Linked DNA regions of Schizosaccharomyces pombe. Changing the gene in region 1 together with any one later gene gives a genetic interaction. Each region holds a gene or a part of one and is shown on either strand. Other genes may lie near its edges. The genes, in order: spo15 and cam1.

Evidence for each region.
Region 2: of spo15 (region 1) and cam1, changing one suppresses a phenotype caused by changing the other (phenotypic suppression), as found in Schizosaccharomyces pombe (one study listed by BioGRID).

Annotation. Positions count from the first base shown.
Region 1 is NC_003424.3:625,291-633,579, reverse strand, and holds the start of spo15 (mitotic and meiotic spindle pole body protein, gamma tubulin complex linker-related Spo15), read left to right. Parts: upstream 1-2,234; 5' UTR 2,235-2,276; coding exon 2,277-8,150; 3' UTR 8,151-8,289. Other genes in the region: SPOM_SPAC1F3.08C (uncharacterized protein), read left to right, coding at 106-432; RSC complex subunit Rsc58, read left to right, coding at 739-1,081, 1,156-2,024. UniProt on the Schizosaccharomyces pombe protein: Has a role in the initiation of spore membrane formation.
Region 2 is NC_003424.3:1,442,612-1,446,833, reverse strand, and holds cam1 (calmodulin Cam1), read right to left. Parts: upstream 1,985-4,222; 5' UTR 1,905-1,984; coding exon 1,902-1,904; intron 1,776-1,901; coding exon 1,326-1,775; 3' UTR 501-1,325; downstream 1-500. Other genes in the region: GARP complex subunit Vps53, read right to left, coding at 1-131; tif310 (translation initiation factor eIF3j (p35)), read left to right, coding at 3,706-3,718, 3,762-4,222. UniProt on the Schizosaccharomyces pombe protein: Calmodulin mediates the control of a large number of enzymes, ion channels and other proteins by Ca(2+). Among the enzymes to be stimulated by the calmodulin-Ca(2+) complex are a number of protein kinases and phosphatases.

The DNA.
Region 1 (8,289 bases):
GTTGCATAACATATTGCATAGTAATACATTAAACATTACAAACGCAGCATTAAACGTGCGTTATCACTTTCTAGTTGCTGAGGCTATTACTAGGATATTCAGAACATGGTAATCTACTGCAACTGGTTAGAATTGAAAGGGTTACTCGAAACAAATGATTTCTTATACTTAATGAGGTGTTGCTACATGTATGATACTGTTAGCTTGGTATCAAATGCACCTAACATTTACAGTATACCATTTTTCTATGATCGGATCTGCTACGATTACAAAAACATATTACTAAAATATGAACTTTTTATTATTTATTATTATTATTATCTTCTAATATGCCTATCACCCCATTTCTTTCCGATTAAAAGAATCCGTCCATTTCATGAAAACCCACTCCATTCTTTTGTTTACCGAATAATGATCTCTAGCGAGGCCTAGGGAATTTCGCAGATATCATTCGTTATATCGCCAACATCGAGTGTGCTTCCATCGCCAACGTACTAAAACTTCGGTGCTAGCATAGCTCACATCAACAAGGTAGTCAAAGGTGCAAAGTGAAGAGAACATAATAGATTGTTCCGCGCAAAGTACCTAGGTTGCCCGAAAAAACTAAGACATTACAATTTGCATGGTTTCAAAAAAGAAATTTTTTGGTTTTTATCGATCTGGGCATATTTTGAGTATTTGAAACGCATTACCGTTATCCGGCCTTTTTTGATAGCAATTCGTAAAACAAACTCGGCAATGAATGCTGAAAGTTGCTCCTTAATTCTTTCCTATATCTCTTCTGCACCTGCGGGCAATCTAGTATTGAATTGCACTGCTACCACAAACAAGCAAACCCTCGAGGCAAACTTAAAGTCCGCTGTTTATCAAAGGTACCCAGAGTTTCTAGAAGATTGGACGAATGTATGCGTGCATATAATTCATTCCTACTTTCCAAAAGATGCTGATTATTGGAATGTCGACAAATTATATACATCGGTGAACCGAATTACCACACTCGAACAAAGTAAAGTTGTTGGGAAAGAAATAAAAAATGGCTTCACTTTTGATGCTGAAAATTCAACCGCTTCATTGGAAAATGGTAAGTTAAAATGAAAATGTTTTTCTTTTCTTTTTATTTTTTTTTTATTTATAGACTTTACTAATTTAGTCAAGATTTACAACCACAATTCAGGTCACACGCTTTGTTTATGGTCGGTTCTGCTGGTCCTTTGTTCAGTTCTACTGCTCGAACTTCCCGATTAGACAGTCGATTACCAGATGGAGGAATAATTGCAAAGCCAGTTGCCCTTTTGCCAACTCCATCCGTTGCTAATTCCCAAGAGTACACCTTGGATAAGTTATCCCCCCCCTCAACCGCCAAACCTCCTGCATCAGTTATAGAATTTAATCCTTCATTGGCTAAACTTCCTACTGTGAAGTACCTACAGTCTGGCCCCTTCTCCTCAATTGCTCCTTACAAAAATTCATCTTCTTCTGTTATTCCTGATTCTTCATTTCATTCTGTTGCTTGTTATCGGGCATCTAGTCATTACAAAGAGGCACCTGTCGAGAAGTCAATCGATATTGACATCATTCAAAACAATTTGAGTCTATTAGAAGAAGACTCATGGACTTCTGTACCTATTCAAGGGGAACTTGTTGAATTGAATAAGTTACTACAGCATCTTCAACTGCTTCAAAATCAAAGAATCACATCTCATAACGTACTCTCCGATGAGGAGCGCCAAATATCTGTGCAAGTACAAAACTTGATACTTAAGTTAGCAAAAGATTACGATATGTCTCCAGAAGATTTTCTTATGGACGATTTTACTCTTTCACTCACTCAATATGGCGCCTTTTATCGTGGAACTCTTCCTCTTAGTGCACAACCGCTGGAGCTTCCTTCACAGCAACTGCTACGCTCCCAGTCCAATGCTGCTTTACGGAGCAATTCCCTATCAATGAACGGCTCCTTAAGTCCAAGCTCTACAAATGTTCCTTTACAGTCTTATCGACGGACTACAAAATCACGTAGATGAATTCGTTCTCTATTTCCATGGTGTTACTTAAAGATTTTAGTTTAACTAATTAATAGATGTATATACATACATATATATATATATATTACCTTATTTATATCTCAATATATTGATGTATTTTTGAAACTTTTTTGTTCAACCACCCAAAAGCTAAATACCGATAAAACATGCCGATACCTTATCACTATTGCTTTGTTGCTTCAGAGAGTTGTCATTTCTAAACAACCCAAATCGTTTATTTACCAACGACAGATGTCGAATCAGTCGTCTTCTGGTTCGAATACTTCTGATTTGGATGAAGAATCAGCGAGTAGTCTTGTGAGCTCTGCTGCATCACCATTTATTGATTCTGATCTCGAAACACCAAGACCCAATATTTCAAGAGCTTCAACAGGACAACTTGCAGAAGACGGTGACACATCAAGTCAACATGAAGATTCCTCAGAGGAGTTAAAGCGTCAAGAAGTAAGGGGAATGCGTAGGCACAGTGACCTTTCAATTGATGCGAAATTAGGCTCTTCTGAAGGCTCAACTGCTTCTTCAGCATTACCTTTGACACCTCGTTCTCCTTCTAATGCCAGCTGGCTATTAGTCCGCGGTGGTTTACTTGATAGTCCGATTCTCGACATTAACTCAGTAACTCAAAAATCCAACCTTTTAAATGAGTTGAAGCAAGTGCGGTCCAAACTGGCTGCCCTTGAACATGAAAACGGAATTCTCTCCTTGCAATTGTCATCTTCGAATAAAAAGGATAAGAATACCTCAAGTGTAACCACGTTAACATCAGAGGAAGACGTGTCATATTTTCAAAAAAAGCTCACTAACATGGAGTCAAATTTTTCTGCTAAACAATCTGAAGCGTACGATTTATCGCGACAGTTATTAACGGTTACGGAAAAATTAGATAAAAAAGAAAAGGATTACGAAAAAATAAAAGAAGATGTTTCTTCTATCAAGGCCTCTTTAGCAGAAGAGCAAGCTTCTAACAAGTCCCTGCGTGGTGAGCAAGAGCGATTAGAAAAACTTCTTGTAAGCTCCAATAAAACTGTTAGTACCTTAAGACAAACAGAAAACTCATTGCGCGCCGAATGTAAAACCTTGCAAGAAAAGTTGGAGAAATGCGCCATCAATGAGGAAGATTCCAAATTGCTGGAAGAACTTAAGCATAATGTCGCCAATTATTCAGATGCCATAGTACACAAGGATAAGTTAATTGAAGATTTAAGTACCAGAATAAGCGAGTTTGATAATTTAAAATCTGAACGGGACACGTTGTCAATAAAAAACGAGAAGCTAGAAAAGTTACTACGTAATACGATTGGCAGCCTAAAAGACTCACGAACCTCCAATTCTCAATTGGAAGAGGAAATGGTTGAGTTGAAAGAATCCAATCGTACTATCCATTCGCAATTGACTGATGCTGAATCTAAGCTTTCTTCTTTTGAACAGGAAAATAAATCACTGAAAGGATCTATTGACGAGTACCAAAATAATCTTTCTTCGAAGGATAAAATGGTTAAACAAGTTTCTTCCCAATTGGAAGAAGCTCGTTCTTCCCTTGCCCACGCGACTGGTAAATTAGCAGAGATAAATTCCGAGCGAGATTTTCAAAATAAAAAAATAAAAGATTTTGAAAAGATAGAGCAGGACTTGCGTGCTTGTTTGAATTCCTCATCCAATGAACTGAAGGAAAAATCAGCGTTGATTGACAAAAAAGATCAAGAGTTAAATAATTTGAGGGAGCAGATTAAAGAACAGAAAAAAGTTTCTGAAAGTACTCAATCAAGCCTTCAGTCTTTGCAACGTGATATTTTAAATGAAAAGAAAAAACATGAAGTTTATGAAAGTCAATTAAACGAACTGAAGGGTGAATTACAAACGGAAATTTCAAATTCTGAACACCTATCCTCCCAACTCTCAACTTTGGCGGCTGAGAAAGAGGCAGCTGTGGCTACCAATAATGAACTTTCCGAAAGTAAAAACTCACTTCAGACATTGTGCAATGCTTTTCAAGAAAAGCTTGCAAAATCGGTTATGCAATTGAAAGAGAATGAGCAAAACTTTTCTTCCCTGGATACTTCATTTAAAAAACTCAATGAAAGTCACCAAGAATTAGAAAATAACCACCAGACCATAACCAAGCAGCTGAAAGATACTTCTTCAAAACTTCAACAGCTACAATTAGAGCGAGCCAATTTCGAACAAAAAGAATCAACCTTGAGCGACGAAAATAATGATCTGCGAACTAAATTATTAAAGCTCGAGGAGTCCAACAAATCGTTAATTAAGAAACAGGAAGACGTGGATTCTTTAGAGAAAAATATTCAAACATTGAAGGAAGACTTGCGGAAGTCGGAGGAAGCCCTCCGATTTTCCAAATTGGAGGCTAAAAATTTGAGAGAAGTGATAGACAATTTGAAAGGAAAGCATGAGACATTGGAAGCACAGAGAAATGATTTGCATTCTTCTCTTTCTGATGCTAAAAATACGAATGCAATATTGTCGAGTGAACTTACCAAATCATCTGAAGATGTCAAGAGGTTGACTGCCAACGTTGAAACTCTTACACAAGATAGCAAAGCTATGAAGCAAAGTTTTACAAGCCTTGTCAATTCTTATCAGTCAATCTCAAACTTGTACCACGAACTTCGTGATGACCATGTGAATATGCAATCTCAAAATAATACATTGCTTGAATCTGAATCAAAATTGAAGACAGACTGTGAAAATCTCACTCAACAGAACATGACACTCATTGACAATGTTCAGAAACTCATGCATAAACATGTAAATCAAGAATCCAAAGTTTCTGAACTAAAAGAGGTGAATGGAAAGTTATCATTAGATTTGAAGAATCTAAGATCCAGTTTAAATGTTGCTATTTCTGACAATGATCAAATCCTTACCCAACTTGCTGAACTTAGTAAAAATTACGATAGTTTGGAGCAAGAGTCTGCTCAGTTAAATTCCGGTCTGAAATCATTGGAAGCTGAAAAGCAATTGCTACATACAGAAAATGAGGAGCTACATATTCGTTTGGATAAGTTAACTGGCAAGTTAAAAATTGAAGAATCGAAATCCAGTGATCTTGGTAAAAAATTAACTGCACGGCAAGAAGAAATTTCAAACTTGAAAGAAGAAAACATGTCGCAAAGTCAAGCCATAACTTCTGTGAAATCTAAACTTGATGAAACTTTGTCAAAGTCTAGCAAGCTTGAAGCAGATATTGAACACCTGAAAAATAAGGTTTCCGAGGTTGAAGTTGAAAGGAATGCTCTTCTAGCTTCAAATGAACGTTTAATGGACGATTTGAAAAATAATGGTGAAAATATCGCAAGTTTACAAACAGAAATTGAAAAGAAACGTGCCGAAAATGATGATTTGCAGTCAAAACTTTCTGTTGTAAGCTCGGAATACGAAAATTTGCTGTTGATTTCATCCCAAACAAACAAATCTCTTGAAGACAAAACTAACCAATTGAAGTATATTGAAAAGAACGTTCAAAAGTTATTGGATGAAAAGGATCAAAGGAATGTCGAGTTGGAAGAACTAACCTCCAAATATGGCAAACTTGGCGAAGAAAATGCCCAAATTAAGGATGAGTTACTTGCCTTGAGGAAAAAGAGCAAGAAACAGCATGATCTTTGTGCAAATTTTGTTGATGACCTAAAGGAAAAGAGTGATGCTCTCGAGCAATTGACTAACGAAAAAAATGAGTTAATTGTAAGCCTTGAGCAATCCAATTCTAATAATGAAGCACTCGTTGAAGAAAGGAGTGACTTAGCTAATCGTTTGTCAGACATGAAAAAATCCTTGAGTGATTCAGATAATGTTATATCTGTTATACGTTCTGATCTTGTACGTGTAAATGACGAGTTGGATACTCTTAAGAAGGATAAAGATTCTTTGAGTACTCAATATTCCGAAGTTTGTCAAGATCGTGATGATTTGCTAGACTCTCTGAAGGGTTGTGAAGAGAGTTTCAACAAGTATGCTGTTTCTCTTCGTGAGTTATGTACCAAGTCTGAAATTGATGTTCCGGTATCTGAAATTTTGGACGATAATTTTGTCTTTAATGCTGGAAACTTTAGTGAATTAAGTCGCTTGACTGTTCTGTCTTTGGAAAACTATTTGGACGCTTTCAATCAAGTAAACTTCAAGAAAATGGAATTGGATAATCGATTGACTACTACCGACGCTGAATTCACCAAGGTTGTTGCTGATTTGGAGAAATTGCAACATGAACATGACGATTGGTTAATTCAAAGAGGAGATCTTGAAAAGGCACTGAAGGATAGTGAAAAGAATTTCTTACGGAAAGAAGCCGAGATGACTGAAAATATACATAGCTTAGAAGAAGGCAAAGAGGAAACCAAAAAAGAAATAGCTGAATTGTCCTCAAGGCTTGAAGACAACCAACTTGCTACAAATAAGCTGAAAAATCAACTTGATCATTTAAATCAAGAAATTCGCCTGAAAGAAGACGTTTTAAAGGAGAAAGAAAGTTTAATCATTTCATTGGAAGAAAGTTTAAGTAACCAAAGACAGAAAGAAAGCTCTTTGCTGGATGCTAAAAACGAGTTGGAACATATGCTGGACGATACGTCGCGTAAGAATTCTTCATTAATGGAAAAGATTGAATCGATTAATTCTTCTTTGGATGATAAGAGTTTTGAGCTCGCTTCGGCTGTTGAGAAGCTTGGTGCCCTGCAAAAGCTTCACAGTGAGTCTCTTTCTTTAATGGAAAACATCAAGTCACAGCTACAAGAGGCAAAGGAAAAGATTCAAGTAGATGAATCAACTATTCAAGAGCTCGATCATGAAATTACTGCTTCTAAAAATAATTATGAAGGAAAACTAAATGATAAAGATTCAATTATTAGAGATTTATCTGAGAATATTGAACAATTGAATAACTTGCTTGCAGAGGAAAAGTCTGCTGTAAAAAGGCTGTCTACCGAAAAAGAATCAGAAATTTTGCAGTTCAACAGCCGCTTGGCAGATTTGGAGTACCATAAATCTCAAGTTGAGTCAGAATTAGGTCGTAGTAAATTGAAGCTGGCTTCAACAACGGAAGAATTGCAATTGGCTGAAAACGAACGATTATCCTTAACCACCCGAATGTTAGATCTTCAAAACCAAGTCAAAGACCTTTCTAATATAAAAGACAGTCTAAGCGAGGATCTAAGAACGTTACGATCGTTAGAAGATTCTGTAGCAAGTTTACAAAAAGAATGCAAGATAAAATCTAATACGGTTGAATCATTGCAAGATGTATTAACAAGCGTACAAGCCCGTAACGCCGAATTGGAAGATGAAGTTTCTCGTTCAGTGGATAAAATAAGAAGAAGGGATGATCGATGTGAGCATTTAAGTGGAAAACTTAAAAAACTGCATTCTCAGTTAGAGGAACAGCATGAAACTTTCTTTAGAGCTGAACAGCAGCGTATGACACAATTAGGGTTTCTCAAAGAAACAGTGAAAAAGCAAGAGAAGCTTTTGAAAAAACTAAACTTAAGGCAAGAACAGTTAATTCCTCGCTCTTCAATTTTAGTTTACGAATCGTATATTCGTGACATTGAAAAAGAAATTATAGTCTTACAAGAACGTCTAAATGGCATTGAGCTTTCGCAACAACTTCCGAAGGGCTACTTTGGGTATTTCTTCAAAACTAATCGCGTCGAAATGGAAGTGTTGGATAGTTTCAAACAACAAGTCGCTAAATTACAGTTCCTTGCGGGTGCGGAATTCATTGTCAAATTTAAAGAGGATCTTGAAAAATGCGCTGCAGAAGAAAAGGAAAAACAAGCTACATTTGACAATTATTCTGAGAAGGTTGAAAATCTTGGGAAATCGATTGAAGCTTTGTATTTTGCACTAAATCGAGAAATTAGTTTCCGAAAGTCTTTAGCGTTGTCTAAATCAGCATATCACAATCTTTTGGTTCGAGATTCTCCCAAGTTTAACCCAGATTCCCAAATTACTTATAGTATACCGGTTACCAATACCAAGCAGTCATTGTTACGTTCTGCAATATTATGTGTCATATCACTGCAACGTTTGAGATTATTAGGTCAAAGACATTCTTTTTGTGAAGAGGTTATCGAGAACCTCTCTTGTGTTTAAATGATTTACTAACAACTACATGATTGAGGCTATTTTAAGGTTTGCTTCGATAAAAAATAAATTTTAAATTTATTTTTCATTACTATGAAGCATATAATGTTGACTGAGAGATATAATAAAATGGTTTTGGTTAAGGCAT
Region 2 (4,222 bases), 820 kb from region 1:
CTTAGTCGTAATGAACCCAAATCATCATAAGTGATATCTTCTGGTAATAATTCGTGAAGCGTTTCTACAAATTTAAATTCATTATTCCCAATATTTTTGATAATTAGAGAATTATCATTTCCATTCGACATAGAGCTATAATTAATTTAGTTATGGTAATTGCTAACCCTTGATTCCAAAGTGTTATGTAATACAGCGCAGTATAGAACTCGAAGCTTTTTTTTTGGCAATTTTAAAGAAGAAAATTTCGTATAGTTAGGTACAAGTTTTCGACGGCGAAGGGATATACGAAACCATATAGCGGGTGGTTGATGGTGAGAGGAAGTTAGGTTGGCTTGAATAGCAAGTAGGAGGACATTGAGGTTTAGAACTGATAACTTTGTAAAAACTTTTTGAATATATATGTACCATGATGTTGAATTTTAGATAAGTTTTAACTTCACTAACTTGAACTTTACCGGCGCAGAGCCTTCCTTCTTAGGAAATGTCCATATTCCAATGATGAATTTCTGTTTACGATCGGAATAACTACGTGAAATGCAAAAAGAAAATAAACGATGTCATTTATGAATTTATGTTTAGTTAATACGTATAGCTTAGCTTCGACAAGTGCCGCACAAAATTTCATACTGAGAGATGTATTTGTATAAAGTAATGTATTAAGTACAAAACAAAGCGTATATCTACCAGAGTGAGAAAACGGCTTCAAGAAGTGCATATAACTAGAAAAATGCTAAAAATTTTAACATCGACTAGTATAATGAACAGTAAATCTTGAAGGAAAAAAGAAAAGGAAGATTGAGCTAAATAATGGGCATGGGAATTGCAAGGACATAAATGCAACGTATACAGCGAGTACTAGGCACATACTAGTACGAGCAAATGCATCATATAACAGACAGATGAAGCTTCTAATAATTCATTGTAGGATGCAATAATGCAAAAGTGCGTGGTATTCTCATAGCAATAACGTATATGTTCCCAGACTTAAGGATTCCTTTATGTGTTGAAACAAAGGAAGCGTTAAAATTCATAGGATCGATCATGAGATGAATGGTAACAACAAATGCTACCATAGTTACTTTTGTGACACACCTAGGCCAGCAAAATAAACAACCAAAACGTTGTAATACACTAACTAATGTTTTTCAAAATCATAGACGAAAAAAAAAGTAAAGGACAATAGCCGAGGTTAAGTTGGTAAAGAGATTGTCCAAATTGCGATGGAGAGTGGTTATAAAGAAGAACTAAAAGGGTGGAAACCCCAGCAAGGATATTTTGATTTTTTTAAGGCTTACAAATATTCCACAGAAATTCCAACCCTTCTACTTGGAAGAAATGACACGAGAGAATTCTTCGTAGTTGATTACACCATCGCCATCGGTGTCGGCTTCACGTATCATATCGGCTACTTCTTCTTGAGACAAACGTTCACCAAGACTTGTAAGCACATGAGTCAACTCCTCGACTGTAATGTATCCATTTCCATCTTTATCGAAGACTTTAAAGGCTTCGCGAACTTCCTCTTCGTTGTCGGTATCCTTCATTTTTCGGGCCATCATAGTCAAAAATTCGGTAAAATCAATTGTGCCATTACCATCGGCATCGACCTCATTAATCATATCTTGTAATTCGGCGGCAGTAGGCGATTGACCTAACGATCTCATAACTACACCCAATTCATTGGACGTGATATTTCCATCCTGATCACGATCAAACAGTGAAAAGGCTTCACGGAATTCTGCAATCTGCTCATCTGTAAGGTTACGGGTAGTCTGTAATAATGTACGATACGGTAGACGACTTCAGAAATCATTTTCTGAGTGTCATCCGTTCATACGATTGTTAGTCAATCTTCAAAGGAAAAATCGGAATATGTCCAAACAATATAATAAACATACCATTTTCTGGTAAAAATCAGTAACTCTAAAGTCCTTCTATTCCTTTTTTTAACCTTTATTTTTGGCGGTTAGTGTTTTGCTCTAGTTACGTTAAAGTGCCTTGGAGAAATGAGGACTACCGTTGTCGCTTCCTAATGTTGCAAGTCCTACCATCAACAGTGATGTCAACAAACAATGAGAGTTTATTACATTATCGTATATGCTCTAACAAACCAGTAACGTACTTGCTATAAACCGCACTAAAACCACTAAACGGCGGATGAAGGAACTTTTTCAATGTCAGCTACGCATTTATTGGTATCTATTTAACGACACCTAGAACTGCCGTGTGGTTTACTTGTGACCTATTGTATTATGGTACACAGGTAAATACATTTAGTAACTTAGAATGATATTCTGATATAGAGGTTATATTGTTACCTATCACCGAATTAGCATAAAAGTGAATAGAGAAACGAGGTTTTGTTTATTTCAATTCATAAAATTTAAGCATTCTATTATTTTTTTTGTTATTCATTTTATAACTCTTAGTAATCTACCTAAGTAACTTATCATGTACAGCTTGACAGAGCAAATCAAACATGTGATAATTAGTGATACACAACGTAGTATGCTATAGCGCAACGGAACGTTGTCGACATTCAACTTATATATCGTACTCGATGTTTAAATCGCAAAAGGATTTAACAAAAAATATTTGTAAATGCAGTATTTGGAAATGGTTATTACAGCGCAATTTTTTGCTGAATGTAAACAGAAAATCGTGTTTTTCACTTTCCTCTATGAGGTTGAGTTAGTGATATTATTATTCATGATATGAAAATATTGTTTTCATTTTGATTTATGGAAAATTAATTATTGAGCAGATTTACAAACACTGTCACGGTTTAAAGTCTCCAAATAATTGAGCAAAATGACATAGCTTTGAAAAATTTGCTAAACAAAAGCATTTTTGATAAGTGCAGTTCATTAAAAGGTTTTTTTGCACGTTTATTATGAATTGCATTTTTGTTGTGTAGCATAATCTGCTTTTGTATTTTTTGTATATGCCAATTTTGATCTGATAATTTTTCTAGTTGAACACTCAAATGAAGAAGGAAAACTGAAAAAGTAAATAACAATATATTATTCAAGCAGGATTTCATTGCCTGTATATATTTCGATATTAATTCTTTTCTAAATGATTTATTCAATGTATAAAAATCCAGAACCTCAACATCTGATACAATGACCGTAGCCGAATTTATTGATTTTAGTCTGAACGGATATTTTAATCGAATAAACAATATTTGTTGTTATTGATGTAACACAAAAAAAAATAAAAAAATAAATTCAAATTGAGCATTTTTTTGTCTTTAATAATCATAAATTTAGACGTCTTTTGTTTTTAAAGATTTTATAGTTTATTCTCATAATTTTAAATTTTTGCACTTCCTGTTTAAAGACATCTCTACAGAATGACCATGAAAATTTGAGTATAATTCCTTAAAAGATTCAAATTTATAAATCTCAATTGATTTAATAAAATGCTGTGAAATGGGAAGTTTAACTTTTAATAATTCGAGGTACTCATATCCTTCATAGAAAAAAAATAAAAAAATAAAAATAAAAATAAACATATAAAAAATAAAATAATAAGAATGATCGAGAATTTAAAGTATTTATTGTTGAACTCTATCAGTACGTGTGTTTGAATATTTTCCTACTCAATTCATCTCGTAATTTTGTTGTGCAACTACAATAAATTCCTTATTGAACCACATACCTTTTTAGTAGACTGTAAAAACCATCAAGTGAATTCCAAATGGATAGCTGGGGTAAGCTATATATGATTCTACATGTTTATTAACTGAAATGAAGAGGACTTTTTAGTAGAAGATCCTGCAAAGCCTGCAGAGTTTGATTTCCCCTTAGGGAAGGATAGTCAATCCTCTTCCAAGCCAAAAAAGAGATTTGACGACGAAGAGGATGAAGATGAAGAAGAAAACAAAGAATCCTTGCAAAATGATTCTCATTCAGTATCCCAAAAATCCTCTTCATCTAGCCAAAATGATCAAGGCTCTAACAAAATGACTCGTATCCAACAAAAAATTCAGGAAAGAAATTTCGAAAAAGCCATTAAAGCAAGTGAAGCAGCTGCGAAGGAAGAATCACTAGAAAGTTCCAAAGAAGCTATGCGACAAGCCGAAATTGACTCTGACTTGGCAAATGCCATGGACTTGTTTGACATCGTTGATAAAAACTCAGCAAGTGCAAACCGCTCCAAGCAAGCTGATCAACGACAACTCAAAACAAAAGCCGACTATGCAGCTTTCCAAGCT